Canis lupus familiaris: one gene and its partners. The protein of the gene in region 2 purifies or fractionates together with the protein of the main gene of each other region. This does not show direct contact. Links are inferred from orthologs where the notes say so. Each region holds a gene or a part of one and is shown on either strand. Other genes may lie near its edges. The genes, in order: TMEM259, STYK1 and HSP90AB1.

The links.
Region 1: the proteins of STYK1 (region 2) and TMEM259 purify together in Homo sapiens (affinity purification with mass spectrometry; 3 studies listed by BioGRID and IntAct, with this or other methods). This does not show direct contact. The link is inferred for Canis lupus familiaris from reciprocal best matches to the Homo sapiens genes STYK1 and TMEM259.
Region 3: the proteins of STYK1 (region 2) and HSP90AB1 purify together in Homo sapiens (affinity purification with mass spectrometry; 3 studies listed by BioGRID and IntAct, with this or other methods). This does not show direct contact. The link is inferred for Canis lupus familiaris from reciprocal best matches to the Homo sapiens genes STYK1 and HSP90AB1.

Annotation. Positions count from the first base shown.
Region 1 is NC_049241.1:58,177,834-58,180,995, reverse strand, and holds part of TMEM259 (membralin), read right to left. Parts: intron 2,007-3,162; coding exon 1,728-2,006; intron 1,216-1,727; coding exon 1,116-1,215; intron 310-1,115; coding exon 199-309; intron 1-198. UniProt on the Homo sapiens protein: May have a role in the ERAD pathway required for clearance of misfolded proteins in the endoplasmic reticulum (ER). Promotes survival of motor neurons, probably by protecting against ER stress.
Region 2 is NC_049248.1:11,057,042-11,060,793, forward strand, and holds the start of STYK1 (tyrosine-protein kinase STYK1), read right to left. Parts: upstream 2,683-3,752; 5' UTR 2,403-2,682; intron 1-2,402. UniProt on the Homo sapiens protein: Probable tyrosine protein-kinase, which has strong transforming capabilities on a variety of cell lines. When overexpressed, it can also induce tumor cell invasion as well as metastasis in distant organs.
Region 3 is NC_049233.1:12,851,963-12,854,770, reverse strand, and holds the end of HSP90AB1 (heat shock protein HSP 90-beta), read right to left. Parts: intron 2,779-2,808; coding exon 2,631-2,778; intron 2,508-2,630; coding exon 2,239-2,507; intron 1,338-2,238; coding exon 1,004-1,337; intron 892-1,003; coding exon 782-891; 3' UTR 513-781; downstream 1-512. UniProt on the Homo sapiens protein: Molecular chaperone that promotes the maturation, structural maintenance and proper regulation of specific target proteins involved for instance in cell cycle control and signal transduction. Undergoes a functional cycle linked to its ATPase activity.

The DNA of each region.
Region 1 (3,162 bases), on a different chromosome or scaffold from region 2:
TGGCCAGGGCCCCCACCCAAGCAGCACTGTGACCCTCTCGCCCCAGGATGCCGAGGAGAGAGGAAGCTTCTGCAGCTGGGAGAGCAGACACAGCCCCCAGACCTGGGACCCCAGTGCTTCCGGGCTACCCCCAGGCAGCCTATCAAGAGACCCTGAGACCTCAGAGAGCCCCACGGCCTCGCTCTAGGGGACACTCACCCAGGGTGACCACCATGACGGGGATGCTGAGCCGCTGCCGCGTGGCCTGTGACAGCCGTAGGAAGCCATACTCCAGGGAGTACTCCACCACATACTCGTCCTGGGGCCATACTGTGGGGACAAGCCCAGTGAGCCTCAGAGCCCTGGCCTAGCCCTGTTCCCTCAGGAGCTGGGTGAGCACTCCTGGTGGCCCTGGGGAGTGAGGGGAGAGGCAGGGCCCGCCCACGGCTCAGGGCTTGGGGAGGCTGGTGGAGCACCTGCATGCATCACACAAACCACATGGGACTTTCAGAGCCCCCGTGACCCCTGCCCACCTCTCACAGATGAGGCTCCCAGAGAAGGAAACCAGTTACTGGGGGCTCCAGGGCATCTGTCACGGCCCCGTGTGCTGATAGATGGGGAAACTGAGGCAGAGTGGCCATTCTCCCAGGTCAGCACCAATGGCCACTCAGACCCTTGGGCCCTCTGCATCGGGGTGCGGCCCCAGGTGGTGACCCCGATGTGACCTGCTGCACACACCTGTTCAGCCCAGGAAACGTGTATTTTTTTTGTTTTTTAAAATTTTTGTTTGTTTGTTATGTTTTTTAAGATTTTTAAGAAATCTCTCTGCCCAGGAGCGCCTGGGTGGCTCACTGGGTGTCTGACTTCAACTCAAGTCATGATCTCGGGGTGCTGGGACGGAGCCCTGCATTCCTGTCCAGCTCTGTGCTCAGCAGGGAGTCTCTCTCTCTCTGCCCCGCCCCCCACTTGTGCACACGCTCTGCTCACTCCTGGAATACGTACACTGTACAGACACACACGTACACAAATAAAACCTTTAAAAAGTAGAAACGAAGAACAAGACTCGAACTCACAACCTCCAGATGGAGGGTCACCCGCTCCCCTGAATGTGCGGGCCGGGTGCCTGCGGTGTGTACCTTTTGTAGGCGTCTCTGGGAAGGGGAGCTCCTGGCTGTCATTTGGGGCCTCGGCACCGCCCGGTGGCTTCAACACCTTGGGCTCAATGTCCAGCTCGAACTGCGGAGTGCCAAGAGGAAGGGGTCAGCTGACTGCAGGGCCCCGCACTCCACCCCCTGCAGCTGTGACCTCCAGCCTCCACGGGGACACCCTCCACCCAGCTCCTAACACCCCACTCCTTACACCCAAATGCTCCACCCTAACGCCAGCCACGCTCCTGAGTGGCCATCTCTAAGGAAGGGTCTGCACCAACCACGGGACCCCCTAGCCTCTCGCTGCTTGAGCAAGTCCTTCCCTGCAGACCGTGGGCGCCGCACATCCGCCTGACCCCTGCCCGTGCTGGCAGCCACCTGCACGTCTCTGGTGACAGGGCGTTCACCACCCCACAGGTGGCCACCTGTCTAGGACAGGCAAGACCGGCTTCAAGCTCCTAGGAAGCGTCCCCACAAAGGGGCCAATCCCTTTCCAGGAAGGGCTGGGAAACGGCCCAAGGCCCTGCCCCTGCCCGCCACAGTCCCGCCCCAAGACCAGCAGGCCCAGTCGAGCCAGGGGCCCGGCCGGGTGCCGCTCACCTTGATGGAGGTGTTCCCGAACATGTCCACGGCCAGCTCCTCCTCTTCCTCCTCCTCCGGCTCGGGGCTGCCCGGCTCCACGGCCAGGCCGGGGAAGCTGCCGCGACGGCCGCCGTCACAGAACTGCAGGAAGACGGGCGCGCGGCTCGAGTTGTGCTGGACCTCCACACGCAGGATGCCCTCCCGGGGCCACTTGTCCCGCACGTGCTCCAGGCAGTTGATGGGCGAGCGTGAGAAGACGATGTGGATGTAGGCCAGGACGAAGAGCACGAACAGCGCCTGCGGGCGGGAGCCGGTCAGCGCGGAGGCCCAGGCACCCTGAGGCCCTGCTCAGGAGGCGCTGTGCCGAGCCCGCTCCCGGGGAGGCCCCGGAATGGCCCGGAGCCAGTGGGGCGGCCTCTCCCCCGCGTGGGGTCCGGTCAGACAGGCTCGGGCCTGCCCAGCAGCCTCACGCGCTGCCCTGACCTCCCAGCTACACACAGCCTGCCTGGCCCGACCCCTCCCACGCTGGCAGGGCAACCTGCTGCGTCTCTGGGAGGCAGTGTCCCCATCTGTAAAATAGGGACCGTGCAGCTCTCGCCCAGGGTGACCCTGCCCCCAGGGACATGGGGCAGGGGGCTCCTGGCAAGGGTGGGTGGGGCCAGGGGAGCTGCTCCCCCCATCCCCCTCAGACTTGCCTGCTGTCAGCAGCGTGGAAGGAGGGGGGGGGGTGAGTGGCTACCCTGCGACGCCCCACCAACAGCACCTTTGCTGCCTTGTAGGTGCATCAAAAGGGCCATCCCTCCCCCTGAGCCCCCCTCACGGTCTGATGGTTGCCCTTCTCCGAGGCCTTGGCCAAGGGTCACTCCCCCAGACAGGATGCCGCGTCCAGGCATCACAACTGTGTACCCGCCACCACCCCAGCCCTTGGGAAAAGGGCCCAGCTGGCCCGACGTGACGGTTCTGAGAGAAGTGGGTGCAAGGAGCTGGAGACCCCAGGGGCTGTGTCTCCTCAGGCCAGTGCAGCCTCCAACACACCGGCTACTCGCGGCCACATGGCCAGCAGCAGGGACGCCACGGCCCTGTCCCTTCTGTGCTCTGCCACAAGCCCCGTACGTGCTGCCATGCCATCGTGGACCACGGGCCCTGCACGGGGCAGACACCCCATGCTCTCATCCCAGCCAGGGGGATGCGGGGCCAGGGGACGGAGAAGCTCCGTGTCTGAGCACGCTGCTGTGATCCGGGCCCAGCTCCGCCTGAAGCCAGGGCCCACCCGCTGACTCCAAAGCCTCCTCTCCAGATGTGCCCCTGCGGGACGGTGATGTGGACACTACAGACCCCTGAGCAGAGCCCAAGCCGCCCTGGAGCCCCAGGTGCTCAGGTCACGGCAGGTGCTGCAGTGACAAGAGCGCTGGAGCCCATGCCTGGATGGCAGCGTGGAAGGCCAGCTGGGGCC
Region 2 (3,752 bases):
GTTTCTCTCTCTCTCTCCCTCTCTCTCTCCCCCTGTATTTCTCTCAAGAATAAATAAATAAATCTTTAAAAATAAAAAAATAAAGGGGGGGATTTGAAGAAAGCCACGTATGCAGAAAGGATACCATATGAACATAAATAAAGACAGCCATCTCCAAGCCAAAAAAAAAGGGGGGGGGGCGGGCGCTGGGACAGAACTTTCCCTCCTAGCAATCAGAAAGAAACCTTGATCTGCCAACAGCTTGATTTTAGACTTCTAGCTTCCAGAACTGTGAGAGAATGAAGTTATGTTGCCACTCAGTTTGTGGTACTTCATTAGAGCAGCCCTAGCAAACTAATAGTGATTAAGGCTCTAAAGAAAAAGTGTATGATTTTCACTGAAGCAAAACAGGTGTTTTGTCCTATTGCCTTTTGCTTTCTTGTGCTTCACAGATCATGTGTTTCTTACAAATTGCAGGTGTGTATCAAGCTTGCATTTTTTTCCTTTTTCTTTTTCTTTTTAAGATTTTATTTATTTGAGAGAGAGAGAGCACAGCAAGGGGGAAGACTGGGGGAGAAGCAGACCCCCCTCCCCTGCTGAGTGGGAGCCCTACTCAGAGCTTGATCCAGGGACTCTGGGATCATGACCTGAGCCAAAGGCAGATGCTTAACTGACTGAGCCATCCAGGTGCCCCTAACCTTATATTTTTTTTCAACAGCATTTGTTCACTTTGTGTCTCTGTTGGTTATTCTCACAATGTTTCAAACTTTATTATTATTGTTGTTAGATTTGTTACAGTGGTCTGCAATCTGATTATGACTCCCTAAAACCTCAGATGACAGTTAACATGTTTTTAGTAATAAAATATTTTTTAATATTTATTTAATTATTTTAGAGGAGGGAGGGAAAGTTTTTTTTTTTTAATTCTATTTATTTCTTTGAGAGAGAGCATGAGCTCCAGTGAGAGAGAGAGCAAGAGTGGTGGGGAGGGGCAGAGGGAAAGAGCTAAACAGACTCCCTGCTGGGCGTAGAGCCCAATGAAGTGCTGGACACCCATCCCAGGATCCCAGGATCATGACCTGAGCTCAAGGCAGATGCTTAACCCACTAAGCCAGCCAGGCACCCCAAGAGAAATATAGTTTTAAGCAGACTCCATGCCGAGCATGGAACCTGGTGCCTGGCTCAATCTCACAACCCTGAGATCACATCCTGAGCTGAAAACAAGAGTCGAACACTTTGCCCGTACCACCCAAGCACCAGAGCAATAAAGCATTTTTAATTAAGATATGCACATTGTCTTTTTAGACATAGTGCTATTCCACACTTAATGTACTACAGTACAATGCAAACATAACTTTTGTTTGCACCAGAATCAAAAATTTCATTTGACTCACTTCATTACAATATTCGCTTTATTATAGTGGTCTGAAACCACACCCACAATACCTCTGAAGTATGCCTGTATAATTTACTCTTGAACAATGTAGGGTTTAGGGACATGGATCCCCTGAGCAGTAGAAAATAAGCATACAACTTTTGACTCCTCCAAAACTTAACTACTAATAGCCTATTCACCGGAACCCTTGCGAATAACATAAACAATCCAGCAGTATTTATTTTGTAGATTATATGTATTACATGCTGTATTCTTACAATAAAGCAAGCTAGAGAAAAGGAAACACTATTAAGAAAATCATAAGGAAGAGAAAATATATTTATAGTACTGTAATGTATTGAAAAAAAAATCCAGGTATAAGGGCACCCACACAACTCAAACCCCGGTTGTTCAAGGGTCAACTGTACCTCCCCGTGCCTCCCTGAAAGGCCTAGCTAGCCCCTCGCTGGCTGTAAGGACTGCTGAGGAGGGTCAGTCAGGTCAAGGGCACCGGGTCCAGATGCATTTTCAGTGTGTGTGCTGCACGTTACAGGAGCTTTAGTGCGTGATTTCCACACTACAGATGGCTCTCCCTAAGTAGCAGGAAGACAGCTTGGTCTGAAACGTCTGAGAAACTCAGCCGGCGAGGGGGTTCCTAGCAGAAAGGGGCCACACTCCTAGAAATGAAAGGAAAGGCAAGAGACAAAACAGGGATGAGGTTGACAGGGAGAAGGGAAAGGAGCACAGCAAAAGAGAAGACAAATTAAGAAAACAGAAATCCGGTCACCAAGGAACAGCATATCACTGCACAGTCATAAAAACCTAAAAGTCGAAACTCACAAGATGTTTTTACCAAAGAAATACAGGTTCGTTCACCTGGTGATTATTGTTCGTTTGCATAAAATTCGCACCACCGCTCACAACCGTTCCACTCTCCCTCTTGTCCTCCCTCTTTTCTTCCCAAACGTCCGAGTCTACCCCTACCCCTCCAGCTGCATCACTGCCATCCGGCCTCCACCCTTACTGCCCCCAAAGCCCAGTTCACTACCGGTAGTGTCCCTCCTCCGGCCACTCTGCTTTCGGATGCAACGGGACCAGCCAGAGGGGGAAAAGAATCATCGGTTTGGGTACGACAAGGTGTGCCAGTCTCAAGGAAATGCTTCTCGGTCCCTCCTTCCCACTGGTGGGGCGTGGCTGCCAGCAAAGGATGGAGTCGGGGCGGGCTCCCCGCAAAGGGAAATCTGCGGGCACTGAGGTTTCCGGGACTCACCACACACTGGCCAGCAGGAAAGCTGCTGAAACGGTAAAATTTACCTCGTCGCTGATCTACTCACTGAGTGCCTCCCCTCGAGACTGCTCCGGGGTCAGGTCAGGAGACGTCAGTCCAAGTGAAACGTGCAAAGGCCTGGTAAAGCGCAACAGCACCACCTACTGTCCGACCTGATCCCAGCGGCCTTCGTTGGTGCTCCAAAGGGCTCCAAAGGGCTGGTCAGGGTTTAGCCTGATGAGTCCCCTCCTGGGGTAATTGCAACCTCAAGCCTTGGCTGGGGATGCCCTAAGGAATAAATGGAAATAAAAGTATTAGCAGGTAATCATTCATTAGCATATGCTTTCTAAATACACTCTGGGCTCTCTTCTGGGATATAGCATTAACGGAAGTAGTTGTCCCTGACCTGCCCCCATGGAATTTACAATCATAGGAAACACAAAAGAGAATACACGGCTGAAAGAATTCCAAATTAGATGCTAACACTTCATACAAATTCTATTAAAGAAATGCGGGCCGCGGATAACTTAAATAGGTGGCTGGTTTGTTCAGCACTGATAGCTCGCATACCAAACAGAAAGGAGCACCTATTAGAACAGAAAGAATTTAGGTGCAGTGTAATGTGGAGTATTTAGCAATTGAGGTACTTTGGTTCTCTAGAGGCTTCTCTATTAGAGTTTTTCTTCCTTTGGAGCTCTTAAGATCGGATGAACTGTACTAAATGTCACTGAATTGTACATTTAAAATGGTTAATGGGTGATTTATGTTATATGAATTTTACATTAATTTTTTTTAAAGGGATGAGGTCTCATCGGCCAGTTGTTCTTCCTACCTTTTCTGACATGATTGATTAATAAAAGCCAAGTGAGGGATGCCTGGGTGGCTCAGCGGTTAAGCTCGGGTGGTGATCCTGGAGTCCCGGGATCGAGTCCCGCATCGGGCTCCCTGCATAGAGCCTGCTTCTCCCTCTGCCTGTGTCTCTGCCTCTCGCTGTGTGTGTCTCTCATGAATAAACAAATAAATTCTTAAAAAAAAAAAAAAAAAAAAAAGCCAAGTGAACTGACCTGACTTCGTATTATGCCATCTTCTACTCTGCTTCCCCAAGCGTCCAAATCTCCTGAGGCAGAGGCT
Region 3 (2,808 bases), on a different chromosome or scaffold from region 2:
TGTAACTTTTTGCTCTTATAATTTTATTTTATTAAATTAAACTGCTGCAATGGGCTTTAAAGTCCGGTGTTTTGGTTGACTGAAGTGTATGCTTTAGGAAGGGGACGGATATAAAGGGCATGGTGTTACACATGCTGGTCTGAGACTACCCTTTAGAAGCAATGTTGGGTGACTTGAAAAGTGCTAAATGGCTATAGGGTGACCTTAGTTTTCAATGTACCTGAAGAATGACCAGGTAAAGCTTGGGATAGAAAAGCTAAGGAAGGGATCCCTGGGTGGCGCAGTGGTTTAGCGCCTGCCTTTGGCCCAGGGCGCGATCCTGGAGACCCGGGATCGAATCCCACGTCAGGCTCCCGGTGCATGGAGCCTGCTTCTCCCTCTGCCTGCGTCTCTGCCTCTCTCTCTCTCTGTGACTATCATAAATAAATAAAAATTTAAAAAAAAAAAAAAAAAAAAAGAAAAGCTAAGGAAACTCAAAAAGCAGCAGGAAATCCACTTTACAAGGGAGAGCATAACTGTATAAAACCGTATCTTCTTTATTTTGCATACTTTAATCTCAGAACAAAATAAACAAACACCACAATACACATCCAAACCCCTTGTCAAATGTCATGAGGGCTAGGGCTTAAGGCCCTTCTGTCCTGCCTCTAACAAAGACAGGAGGAGAAAAAAAAAAATCCACTAGACATCAGCAGAGGGAACCAGGTGAACCGGGGCCACTCAGGGCTGCTGGGGAGCCATGGGGACACTATACAGAGGGCACAAGGTCTGCAAGGAGAAATTAATCGACTTCTTCCATGCGAGAGGCATCCTCATCACCCTCAAGTGGAGGGATCTCATCAGGAACAGCAGCACTGGGTTCCTCCGCTGCCACTTCATCTTCATCGATGCCTAGAAAGTAAAAAAGGCCTGTGAACTTTGATCCAAATACCAGTAAATCATCTTTGTCCCCCATGAGACCAACTCCCCAGTTCCTTGGCACACTCTGGTAACTGGCACCCACCCAGGCCTAGCTTGATCATGCGGTAAATGCGGTTGGAGTGAGTCTGGGGATCCTCCAGTGAGAAGCCGGAGGAGAGTAGAGCTGTTTCAAACAGTAGCACCACCAGGTCCTTGACAGCCTTGTCGTTCTTATCTGCCTCTGCCTTCTGCCGCAGCGTCTCCACAATGGGGTGGTCAGGGTTGATCTCCAGATGCTTTTTGGCCATCATATAGCCCATTGTAGAGTTGTCCCGGAGTGCCTGGGCTTTCATGATCCGCTCCATGTTGGCAGTCCAGCCATAAGTGCTAGTCACGATGCAGCAGGGTGAAGATACCAGCCTGTTAGAGATGGTCACCTGTAGACAATTACAGAAACTCCCATTGATGGTGCATCAGATTATCATTTCCAGGCCAAAATGACTATATGTTAAGTTCTATTTTTTTTAATTCTTTTTTTTACATTTTTTTTATTTATTTATGATAGTCACGGGGGGGGGGGGGGGGGGGGGGGGGCAGAGACACAGGCAGAGGGAGAAGCAGGCTCCATGTACCGGGAGCCTGACGTGGGATTCGATCCCGGATCTCCAGGATCGCGCGCTGGGCCACCCAGGGATCCCTATATGTTATATGAGTTCTACTCAAAAACTCAAAGCTAGAGATGCCTAGGTGGCTCAGGATCTGAGCATCAGCCTTCAGCTCAAGGCGTGGTCCTGGTCCTGCATCAGAGTCCCTGCAGAGAACCTGCCTCTCCAGGTCTCTGCCTCTCTCATAAATGATTGAAATCTTAAAAAATCTGGGATCCCTGGGTGGCTCAGCAGTTTAGTGCCTGCCTTCAGCCCAGGGCATGATCCTGGAGAGTCCTGGGGTTGAGTCCCACAACGAGATCCCTGCATGGAGACGGCTTCTCTCTCTGCCTGTGTGTCTCTCATGAATAAATAAATACAATCTTTAAAAATAAATCTAGGGATCCCTGGGTGGCGCAGCGGTTTGGCGCCTGCCTTTGGCCCAGGGCACGATCCTGGAGACCCGGGATCGAATCCCACATCGGGCTCCCGGTGCATGGAGCCTGCTTCTCCCTCTGCCTGTGTCTCTGCCTCTCTCTCTCTCTCTCTATGTGACTATCATAAATAAATAAAATTAAAAAAATAAATAAATAAATAAAAAAAATAAAATAAAAATAAATCTAATTGTGTAATGCCACAAGATTCTGAGAGCACTTGTTTACAAGACACATGCCCTACTCCCAGAGTTGCTCACCTTTTCAACCTTCTTATCCAAGATTTCCTTCATGAGTTTGCAGAGATTCTCGAACTTGGCCTTGCTCTCCTCCATTTTCTTCTTCTCCTCTTCATCCTCAGGCAACTCCAGGCCCTCCTTGGTAACTGAGACCAGACTCTTCCCATCAAACTCCTTGAGCTGTTGCACGCAGTACTCGTCGATAGGCTCTGTCATATACACTACCTCGAAGCCCCGTTTCCGCACTCGCTCCACAAAAGCGGAGTTGGCAACCTGCTCTTTGCTCTCACCTGTAGAGTTATGGAGTGTGACTCGGGTCAGAATGTCGCCTCCTGCCAGTTCCCAGAGATTCCCAAATGTCCTCCCTCCCTTTCACCCTGAGAGCCTTTGATCAGACCCAAGCTCCAACGCACCAGTGATGTAATAGATGGATTTCTGAGTCTCCTTCATACGGGACACATACTCTGAAAGAGAAGTCATCTCATCTCCAGATTGGGAAGTGTGGTAACGCAGCAGCTCAGAAAGGCGGCGCCGGTTAGTGGAATCTTCATGGATTCCAAGCTTCCAGGGTAAGAAAAAAACAATTTTACT